3 linked regions of the Oryzias latipes genome follow. The protein of the gene in region 1 interacts with the protein of each later gene in a biochemical or structural test. Links are inferred from orthologs where the notes say so. Each region holds a gene or a part of one and is shown in the gene's direction. Other genes may lie near its edges.

Evidence for each region.
Region 2: the proteins of lrp2 (region 1) and dab1 form a complex in vitro, tested with the Homo sapiens proteins (2 studies listed by BioGRID). The link is inferred for Oryzias latipes from reciprocal best matches to the Homo sapiens genes LRP2 and DAB1.
Region 3: the proteins of lrp2 (region 1) and clusterin form a complex in vitro, tested with the Homo sapiens proteins (3 studies listed by BioGRID). The link is inferred for Oryzias latipes from reciprocal best matches to the Homo sapiens genes LRP2 and CLU.

Annotation. Positions count from the first base shown.
Region 1 is NC_019879.2:21,664,407-21,668,058, reverse strand, and holds part of lrp2 (low-density lipoprotein receptor-related protein 2), read left to right. Parts: intron 1-108; coding exon 109-219; intron 220-322; coding exon 323-436; intron 437-530; coding exon 531-647; intron 648-1,143; coding exon 1,144-1,287; intron 1,288-1,381; coding exon 1,382-1,501; intron 1,502-1,611; coding exon 1,612-1,740; intron 1,741-2,621; coding exon 2,622-2,791; intron 2,792-3,652. UniProt on the Homo sapiens protein: Multiligand endocytic receptor. Acts together with CUBN to mediate endocytosis of high-density lipoproteins. Mediates receptor-mediated uptake of polybasic drugs such as aprotinin, aminoglycosides and polymyxin B.
Region 2 is NC_019862.2:3,647,227-3,651,494, reverse strand, and holds the start of dab1 (disabled homolog 1), read left to right. Parts: upstream 1-1,434; 5' UTR 1,435-1,695; intron 1,696-4,268. UniProt on the Homo sapiens protein: Signaling adapter of the reelin-mediated signaling pathway, which regulates the migration and differentiation of postmitotic neurons during brain development.
Region 3 is NC_019882.2:19,519,640-19,522,791, reverse strand, and holds the end of clusterin, read left to right. Parts: intron 1-43; coding exon 44-242; intron 243-318; coding exon 319-462; intron 463-536; coding exon 537-757; intron 758-1,300; coding exon 1,301-1,476; intron 1,477-1,552; coding exon 1,553-1,565; 3' UTR 1,566-2,547; downstream 2,548-3,152.

The DNA of each region.
Region 1 (3,652 bases):
CATCCTTCCCTTTCAGAAACCCCTTTTCTTGGTAAAAGCGGAGAAGAGCACAGTTGTCAGGCTGATTTGAGTGCTTAACATTGGACTGATGATGGGTTAATCTTACAGATTACCCTGAATGTACACAACTGAGGTGCACTAATGGGGCCTGCTACGACCGGACACAGCGGTGTGACCATGTACTTGACTGCCGTGACGGCTCGGATGAGGCCAATTGCAGTAAGCAGTTGATCAATCTTACGCAATAGCCTTTTATACTCATTGAATACAACTAAAGGCATAAACTCACCCCTAGATAAACCCTCTGTTTTGTTTTCTTTAGCACAGCACTGCAATGCGGGAATGTTTCAGTGTCAAAATGGACTGTGTATTCCTCAACGCTACGTCTGTGACCACGATGATGACTGTGGAGACCGCAGCGATGAGCTCAACTGCAGTTCGTGCTGATCTGCTTTACTCCACCATATCCATAATGACCTGTTTCTCACCAAGTAGAAAAACAAACTGTTATTGTGGTTTTTTCTAAACAGCATATCCCACATGCAAAGGGAACTATTTTACCTGCCCTAGTGGTCGTTGCATCCACCAAGTTTGGCTTTGTGATGGAGAAGACGACTGTGAAGACAACGCAGATGAAAAAGGCTGTGGTAAGGATGGAGAAGTTCAAATGAAGTGCTTACGTTGCATATTTTGGGATTAGAAAATCTCAGATAATCCGGTGGTTAAATACCACTAAAAAAAGTAAAAGCTTGAGCTGTGGAAACCTGATCCATCTGTAGTCCCCTTGGTTGGTTTGCTAAGATTCGTGCCTACGTTCTTTTAAGTGTGATATTCAAATGACTCTTTGTGGAAGAAGGTTGTCCAGCCCCCCCCCAAAGGGCTTTAGAATTCCTCCACATGGCTGTGAAGACTGGGTTTTTAGGAGACAGGCTGCAAAAGGCCTCTATTTACCCCTTCCCACAAACAAACGCACACAGAGACACAGCTTCACTCCCTTTGATAACTTTTAAGTGATTTTGAGATCGCAATCATACTTAATCCAAAGTTTTTAATGACAAAAACAATTGCATGTTAAGCTCTGCTGTTTTTTAAACTTCATTTTACCTTCAAAATAAAGGGGTTATTCATTCATGTTTTCTGTAGATAATGTCCCACGGGAATGTTACCCGGGTGAATGGCCCTGCCCATCTTCTGGAAAATGTATCCCAATGGATAAGTTGTGTGACGGCAGAGTTGACTGTCTTGATGGAGAGGATGAAACCAACACCACTGCCAGCCGCAACTGCAGTCAGTACAAATGCAGCTTGTTAGCCTATCGTCCTCTTTCAAGCTGACTTTGAGCGTCCATATTCATTGACGGTTTGATTTCTGCTCTGTTCAGGTATCTGGAGATGTGCTTCTTTGAGCTGTGAGCACCGCTGTCATGCTTCCCCTGATGGAGGAACGTGTTCCTGTCCATCTGGATATGTTGTCAGCGGCAATGACAGTCGCTCGTGTGTAGGTAGGAATCCTTCCGTAACTTGCTTTCATTACATTTCCCAACTTACCATTACATTATTAATGTACATTGAATTAAACATTCAATCCACTTTTTTATGGCACCATGTAAAGATTTTGATGACTGCTCCATGTGGGGAGAGTGCGACCAAGTGTGTGAGGACCGAATCGGCTCACATCGCTGCAGCTGTCTGCAGGGCTATGTTCTGGAGCAGCACAGATACTGTAGAGCTGACATCCAGAGTAAGTGGCACTCATCATTTTGTTGTAAATATCCTATGTTCAGACTGTAAGAACATAAATGATGCATCTGATGATGTGTAATAGCTTAAAGACCTATTCAAATGAAAATAGTTTTTTTTACATGTTCTTCTAGAATTTTTCTCATAGAGGAAGACATATCTAAAAAAATTTTTGATTAAAACTGAAGTCATTTGAATTGTGGTGAATCAGAAGCAGGCGAAATAATGTCATCTGGCTCAAAACTGTACGGCTGGATAGCTCTGATACTGCTTGCAGTGTTTGTTGCACTGGTAATGTTAGGTTGGATTGTGAGGGGCTGTCAGCTAGCGGGAAAGAAAAAGGGATGATGGGAAATGAAGGTAGACTCACTCTGCGCCAACAGTCCTGCCCAGAACTCAGAGGTGAATTTCCTTTTGCTCGACAAAAACTTTGCCTTAAACAACACAGGGTTTTTTTTGTGGCTAAAAACGGCAATTATACTTAAATGCTTTTACTGTTGAAGGTTTTTACAAAAGATGATCAGAGGGGGCCACCTTTACACAACTCTGTTTTTTGTCAGTGGCTGCAGCGAGTGCCCACACTCTTCTCTGGTGCATTGCTGCATGGCCAGTGTTGTTTTAGTTACTCTTGTCTGTATTGCACTTACAGAAAAGTTTTAACTGACCTCTTTCCCTCCAGCTTTAGTGAGAGTAGTGTCCAATAGTGACTTCTCCGTTCATTATGACCCATAAGCTTTATTTAGTAAATTTACACTAATCTTTTCGTAGAAAATCTATTTACTGTAAACCAGATTACTTGTTTTTGACTTTTGGTTCTAACTGAATGTTCATGATTCTGATTTGATAAGTCTTACAATTCTTTGTGTTTTGATTTTCTTTTAGCTGGAGTTCCTTCCTTGATATTTTCTAATGGCAAAGACCTGATAATGGGCGACATCCACGGCAACAGTCAGCATGCTCTGATCAGTTCACAGAACAGAGGGATCGCGGTCGGGGTTGACTTTCACTATAATCTTCGTTTGATCTTCTGGACTGATACCATTCAAAATAAGGTATTTTATGTCCTATTTTCTGCTATTTCTGTTTGTAAAAACAACCACTGCAAAGCAGAAGAACCTCTTACAGTCAGTAGCTCAGTTCTTTGAACACATTCTTGAGGTAGACTTTCGCTTAAAAGGCCAAAATTTTTTGCGTTATCCTAAAAAATATCAGAAACTTTGATACTATAATAACAGGGTCGTTTTTGGCCCCATGGTGGCTGTCTCATAATGAAGGGAAGTAGATATGTAATAGAATCTAATCTTGAGAGCAGTCTGATAGGCAGGTATGATGTCCACATACCAAGGTCTAATTTTTGGAACTTGATCTAGTCTGAACTAATCATGCTGTATTTTTTTCAGCAGCCCTCTCCATATGTATGCATTCTCTGGCATGCTCATCTTGTGTCTGGAAATGTGGTTCTCATTGGTTTAAACTGGAACCATTGTACCTTCGGCTGGGTATCAGTGCATATTAGCCACCTCCATGGCAGCATGTCAGATTAGAAGTAGGGAGAGCACAAACAGGGCATGTGAATGCAACCAGAAAGGTTAAACTACCCGGCTCTTTCCTTGTCTTCAGTTTCCCTTTAAACAGGTCAGTTGAAAATCCTGCTTTTTAGATGTCAGGATGTGGTTTCAAATGAAGCAAAGCTGCTAAAAGCTGTCCCCCTTCGCAGTCAGCTGTGTGGTGCCAAGGTCTCTATTTTAAGTAAGTGTTGGGGCATTAGCAGGTGTATAGCTTTAATGCAACAGGACTCAAAATATATTCTCTCAACACACAAAACTGGGGATTCTTTTTGGTTTTGCCCATCAAATCTGTTTGGTGTCTTTGAGTTTATTGTGGTCTTGCTACTGTAAAATCGTTGGATTCTA
Region 2 (4,268 bases), on another chromosome or scaffold:
TGAGCTACGTCTGGCCCCCTTGCCTTGTTCCTCGCTCATCTTGTTTTGCTGTGCTTCAGGTCTTGCCTTCCACGAGTGACACCCGAGTCTTTCTACCACCCGAGCTGAAGCTGAACTCCTCTACGCCTCCAAAGAACTCCTGCCACGTCAAAGCTAAGATCCAGAGCTGCCTTCATCTTACATATCCTCCATCCTGCTGACGATCTGCTCCATCTAGTCCCACGACGCTCCACGCCTCAAGATCCGCTGGCTCCTACAAAATAAAACCAGTTACTTTCCCTTTCACTTACCTGCCTCCTCCTCCTTCCGGGTTACAGCATCTGGGTTTGTCACGTGATCCGATCATGACATATTTCAAGCACCAGTTGCTCCAACTGCTGCTTGGTTCAGGGATATTTTAGAATGTCCCTCATTATTTCTTTGCGGCAGTGTAGACGCTACTCAGCGTCTATCTTCTTCACTGGTATGTGTGCTCAGCAAGGCAGTTTTGTGTTTGAGCGCACCCAAGTTGTGTTTTACTGTAACTTCAGAAGCTCCAGACACGTGTGCAAAAGCGCCATTCTCATTGGTCGAATAGATTTCGACGCGACGTGTCAAACCAAAAAGAAAAACGAACCCGAGGCGTTTTTTCGCCTCGGGTGACGCTTTGACGCGTGGCGTTTTTTCGCGTCGGTATGCACACTCACATTTGTGCCTTTTGTTTAGTCACGAGGCGTTAAACGTCGGCGAAGATCGCGGGTGAAATTCGTCCCGGTGTGAACAGGCCTTAAGGGTCACAAACTCTCCAAAGCAACAGATTTGGAGAGGAGGATCAGAACAGGCTGAGATAAAGACAAGCTGGCTAATCGTTCAGATTTAAATTTTTCTTATGCCTCCACTAACAGAGAAAATACAAAACCTCATCTTGATTTGCCGAGTGGGTGACTTGTGTTGTGGTCTGCAGACTTAGTTGTGGGTGGTTATCGAGTCAAGAGGCTCAGTGAGTGATTGGAGCTGGCTGCACCTCTATGCATTCATGATGGGGTGGGCTCTGGTGAGTACGCAGAGTGAAGAAGTGGCTGTGTGATGATGGGAAAGTTTGACCATTGTGAGAATATAGGGATCATTGGATGTACTGATTGTCCAAAAAAAAAAAAATCCCCCCTTTTCTGTCCCAGGACGGATGCCCTTCGCAACTTTTCACAAATCTGCATCCAACCTCACCTCTGTACATTAATCGCTTCTTTCATCTCAGTTTCTTCATTATATCTTTAATCTTTTTTTTCATCCCAAAACGAGGCTTTCCTCCTCCCCCCCCCTCCACTCCACTGTTACTCTGAAAACTGGAAAATCAGGACAGTTCAGCAGTGGAGGGGTTAAGATGGAGGCAGCCTTGTGATTGGCTGGCGGCCGGCGGTCTGATCCATCCTACAGAGAGAAGTAACCAGGCAACCTCAGTGAGGGAGAGGAAAGAAGAGGGGCCGGAGGACTGGGGAGTAAAAGTGAAAAGGAGGTGCTGAAAGGAGCGGGGTTCTAGTTTGGGAAGGAGTGTGTGAAGATGGAGGGTCGCCTGGAGACGCTCTCCCCGGGATGGGAGACGGGATTACTCTGTGTGGATGTCTGAGGAAAGCAGAGGAGCTGCGCTACAAGACGGGATTCTTAAACCTTTTTCTCGAAATGGGAACTAAGTCTGACCAGTTTCTCTGCAGCGCAAAGGTGAGTGGAAATGTGCGCAACAGCCGGCAGCGTCTGCGCAGACGGTGGGAGCATGCGGCGGACTTTGGCGCCACAGTTTCAGCCTGTGGATTCTGTCCTCTGCATGAATGATCTGCTGCTGGTGCTGCGTCAGGATGTGACCCCCCCCCCCCTCCACCTCACTAGGAGCAGTGGTCGGGGGCAGTTATGTGGGGGGGTGTTTGTTTTGTTCGGCGGGAGGACAGGAGGGGTTTGCCGCATTTGAGTGTGGAGGGACGCGGCGCCCCTCCCTGAGAGGACTGTTTAACCCTTTTCTGGCAGAGCGGAACCCTCCTGACTTATTGTTAGGGGCCTCGGACCCCAGCGGAAGAGGCATCCATCACCAGGGGCCACAGAGGCCCCCCGTCTGTGACTAAACACATTTGACACTTTCCTTCTGGTTTGTGTTGTTCTATGACCCAATAAAGTTCCTAAAAAGCTGAACGCATTGCCGCGTCCTGCATGCGTGATCTGCGGGCTCTCTGCAGCTCCTCAGTCAGTGGGAGTGAAGTGGAGTGGACCGTGGAACCACGGAGGTTGATGGAGCGTGGATCTGCAGTCAGTGGGATGCAGCAGCCTCTCCGTTACTAGATGGAGAGGGCAGCCCTGGAGCTCTGAGGGCCCCAACCAAGGAAGGACCGGCACCTTCCTCCTTGCAGTTTCTGAACTCCTGTTGTTTCTCTGATGGCTGCTGTTTTCAGAAGAGAACTTGTTTGTTCTTTTAGCTATGGTGTCATTTCAAGTTAATCCAATTTCAGATTGAATCCTTTTTGCAACTTTTCTACAGTTTTGCTGAACAGACTGGTGCCTTCATGGACCAGCTCACTTTAAGTTGTACTAGAAACCTACAGACTATTGCTCAGGAATTCAAAGGAAACACTGTTGGAGGCTCTCTTTCTGACTCTCTCACCTTCATTTCTCATGTCTGTCTGGTGCCTCTATGGTAGAGGCCTGAAACGTAGTTTACCCAGGGGGCACTGCAGGCAGGGGTCTGTGTGAAGCTGGGCCACATGGGAGATAAAAAAAAAACATCTGTATTAACAGTTTGAATTATTTCTTCTGAACATGAAGTGTCCTGAGAGCACTGATTTGGATTATTGCCTCTGAACGTGGCTTCTCTTGCCTCCAGACTTGGCAGCACTTCTCACATATCTGAGCCACATTTGGTTTGACAGAGGAAACAGCTGAGCTCCTCAATATGATCATGGCAGGTCTAGATCTACACTTGGATTACTGAAGCTCAAGGTGAAGAAGAAGTTTTTGCATAAATATGTTCTCCCAAAAAGGAACACGGTCGGCTTCATCCTTTGGGAAACTCAAAATAGCTGGGAGAAAATCCTCCCAAAAATTGTCCAGGCTTGTCTACTTCTGTACTCTCCCTCCTGAGATTGGCTTGGAGGTCCAAGCTGTATTGCAGCTCTATGAGCTCCATTTGAAGCACAGGAGGGGCATCTTGCACGTTAAAGGTGAGGGGTTCTGGGATGGCGAATGCTAAAAAGGTTGACAGCTGTCTCGCGGTTCATTACACTCTGGGCTGTTGTGGTAAGCAAGGAATACATGAAACTGCAGAAATCTTTAATTCCGAAAGGGTAATTGAAGTTTATTCTGGCATTGAGAGCTTGTTTTGTGTACTTGTTAGATGAGTGTGTTTACACTTAAAAATAAAACTCTCAGTTTTCCCTGAGGACAGTCCGGTCCCGCTTAGATTGGTCCAGCCGATTCAGCTCATTGGCTTTTGGTGCTATGAACAAAGCATTAAATGTGGTTGGAGAACACAGAAAGCCCACAACCCAACGCTGCTGCATTGGTGGGAATTGGGGATTCTACTAGCCGAAAACTATCAGTCCTTTTGAGGGATGGCTGACAGCAATCTGGTTGAGTGGACCTCTGATTGGGGGAGAGAGGTCCACTGCCCTCGTGGGCCGCATTTTATTATACTTCGAGCCACAAAAAGAAGTGCTGTGGGCCATAACTGGGCAGCTGTGGACGATCAACAACTTGAATGTAGTGTGACTGTGACACAAACTCTGACAGAGAATAAAGAACAAAGAAAACAACCAAGGACCAAACTGAAGGGCTCAATCCTTATCCTCCAATATTTGTAAATTATGGTAGAAAATAAGTATTTGGTCAATAACAAAAGGTTATCTCAATACTTTGTTACATACCTTTGTTGGCAATGACAGCATTCAAACCTTTTCTCTAAGTCTTCTAAATGTTTTCACAAACTGTCGTTGGTATTCTGGCAAGATTTATTCTTAACTACATTTATCTGCAGTGCTGCAGCGATTCATTTTAACAACGATTAATTTGTGGTCACTGATCTGATTCAGAATCAATATTTGTTCATTTTGATCGATTGTCTGACCTAAATGGATCCAGAACGTGTTTGTCCAAACTTCAGACAGAAATTCCTGCTACTGAACAGTGAAGTTTTCCAGATTCTTGGATTTCTTCCAGATCATCAAATGTAAATGAAATCTGTGTCCAAACAAACAAGTAAACTAGAATGAATGTCAAATCCATTCACATGTTAGTTTCCTAAAGTTCACCAC
Region 3 (3,152 bases), on another chromosome or scaffold:
AGTTGGTTTGTTGAGACGCTGAACTTCCTCGTTTGTCCTCCAGGTGGCCGATCACATCCACCTGAACCCTCCCGTCTTCTTCTTTCCCCATTTCCTGTCTCCGTACGCTCGGCGCGCCAGGAGCATCCGCTCCCTGTTCCAAGATCCCTTCCACAACTTCCAGAGTCTGTTCTCCCCCATGATGGGGAGGAACTTCTTTGACTCCATGATGGACATGAGCAGCGACCCTGTCCCGAATGAGGGTGGGTGATGTGTTGTTTGCATATAATATTTGCCCTGGCTGAAATTTCTCTCCAAACTATGTGTTCCTGTGGACAGCAGATGGCGACGTGAACGAGGACGTGGTGGTCACCAAACCTTTTGGCAACGGCAGGATGACCTGCAGAGAGATTCGCCGCAACTCAGCCGGTTGCATCAAATTCCGCAACGAGTGCGAGAAGTGCAAAGAGATCCAGCATCTGGGTGAGAGGGCTGACCCCACACGGCGGCGGTGGTTCTAAAGCGCGGAAGTTCTCCAACGCTTTTCCTGTCCGCAGACTGTGACGGGAAGAAACCTCTGGAGGGCCCGCTGAAGGAAGAGCTGGAGGAGGCTCTGGCCACGGCCGAGCGCTTCACGCAGCAGTACACCAGCCTCCTGCAGAGGATGGAGGAGCAGCTGTTCAACACCTCCTCCATCCTGGACATGTTCAACAAGCAGTTCGGCTGGGTGTCAACTCTGGCCAACAGCACCAAAGACGGCCTTTTCCGAGTCAAGGCGGTGCGTAGTCTGGTGATTCCCATAGACGGAATTAACAAACCGGGAACGATTCTAGAGAATTCTTGTTTATATATCTGATTAAGCTCGTCAGTCAAACCTTTTGAAATCATGGAAGGATGTCTATGTTTAGCTGAACTTTGGTCATGTTTACCATAAATATATAGTACCTATAAAAAGCAGTTTTTATGACTTTTTTACTCCAAAATACTTTAAAATTGATGATTTTTCTTTACTTAAAAGGATTTTAAACCCATAAAACTGCTTAAAAGGATGCAGTGTGTCGACCAAATGGGTACATATTTAATTAACATAATTATATCTATAATTTACGGGTTGACAAAATTGGATTGGAGGCGAATTATCCTATGATGTGTGAATTTGAACCTGTCTTTGTCCTTGTTTATCCAGAACAGATATAAAAAAAAACTAACTACTGCACCTTAAGGATTGTTAGATTTCCAAAATTGACCTAAACTTGATGTCGTGGCCAGTGTTTAATGGTTCCTGCAGTGAACTCATCAGTGCCTCCTGGCTGTTCTGCAGGTGATAAGCAGAGACTCACCCACGGAGGAGAAGCCTGCAGAAACCAGTGTGGAGGTGCAGCTCTTCGACTCCCCGCCCATGACGTTCACAGTTCCGGGCGAGATCCCCTGGACCGACCCCAAGTTCTCTGAGGTGGTGGCTCAGGAGGCTCTGGACCGCTACAAAGAAATCAGCGTGTGAGTGCCGAAGCCTGCACTCAGAAATACAGGTTTCTCTCCTCTGGGTAACTCAGAATGGTTTGTTCCTCCTCAGGGTTGTCAAATAAACTGGGTTTAAACCAAAAACCCGAAGCTTCTCGCTGACCAGAGAATGTTTCGACCTCAAGCAGACAGCAAGCTCACCCGGAGACAAACCCTGACGCCTCCTGCTCCTCCTCAAGCCCTGCTTCTGCAAACACTCTGGAACCCTCTCATAGGTTTTATTCCTTTAGTCCTGCTGTGAGGCGCTGTGCTCTTTAGCTGCCAACGGGAAGGCCTCCTGAAACAGGGAAAACACTGCAGACGTTTTTAGTGCGCACCTTTTTTTGTATTTGTTTGCATAAAATGAATTTGTTGAAGACGAGATTCTAGGTTGTAAGATTTGAGATTGTTGAAAAAGAGAAGAAACTGGAATAGTGTGTTTGTGATAATAAATGTGTTGCTTTAAGGCACTCTATTAAAAATGTCTTTTTTCCTTTTAAATAGATATGTTATGAACAGTAAAAGTGGATTTCTTTCTTGATTTTATTTTCAATAAGTAAGTTTTTTTTGTTTGACAAAAACATTTCATGCAGAAAATGACGATTTAAGAGGAATTTAATGCTTTTTAAATTTGCTTTTATTTAGTCAACCAGATAATTCCTAAAATCCTGCTCCAAATTGGTATCAATTTTCTAATGTGAAGTATGAACAGGAAATGGAGCTGGCATCGGTTCCACAGTGTTGAAGTGGGCGGGGCCAAAATGGGAACACCTCTTTCAGTCTGAAGGGGTTAAAAAACTGGAGCGAGCAGTAAAAAGTAGAAGAAAAATGTTCAGAATGACCTGTTGGCAGCTTTTACTCTGAAAGTACAACATTCTTTTGTGGCCCTTTGGGGACAAAGTTCTAGTACATTTGGACTTTCATACAACTCCAATAATTGATTACGTATAACAAAAAATATATTTTCTAGCCTGACATTGGACTCCAGTGGGAAAAAAGGATGCAGGTAATTATTTCTTTTGCATCTTAGTCGTTTTACCCGAAGCAAATAAACGTTTATACACTTTGTTTGGAACGTCCTATTGCATTTGGTGCAAATGTCAGTTAATGCGACGGATCATATCTGTTTTGCCTTTGAAACATTGAAATATAACATAATAATGAAAGAATCAGTGTTATATAAAAATAAATCTAATGCAACAAATCAAAGTTATTCAAGCAATAATTAGGTCATCATAACCTTCATCTTTAGTTCCCTCTTCTTCTTTTTGAATCTGGCAACCAGCCTGTTTATAAAGTAGCATCAGCATTGGAAAACAAATAAAAAAATATTGGCTAAAATTGACAAAATATTACATTTATATATTTTTTAAAACAATGAACCCACCCCAGGGGAGTTATGCAGATCTGTAGCCCCTCATTTGAGGCCTGCAGCTCCACGGTAGCTTCTGATGAAACAGGAATATCAGCTTTTTACCTTACCTTTGGTTTTCTTCATCCATCCTACCAAAAGCCTCTCAGAACCAAAGCTGCAAATATCCCATAAGGTTCTTTTACATGATTTTATGGTTTGGGGGCTCCAAATTTACTTTATTATGATTTTATAGTACGAGGTCCTGTATGTGAGAACTGGACTGAGTGACTCCTCCCCCTGGTGTTCTGAGTACCCGCTG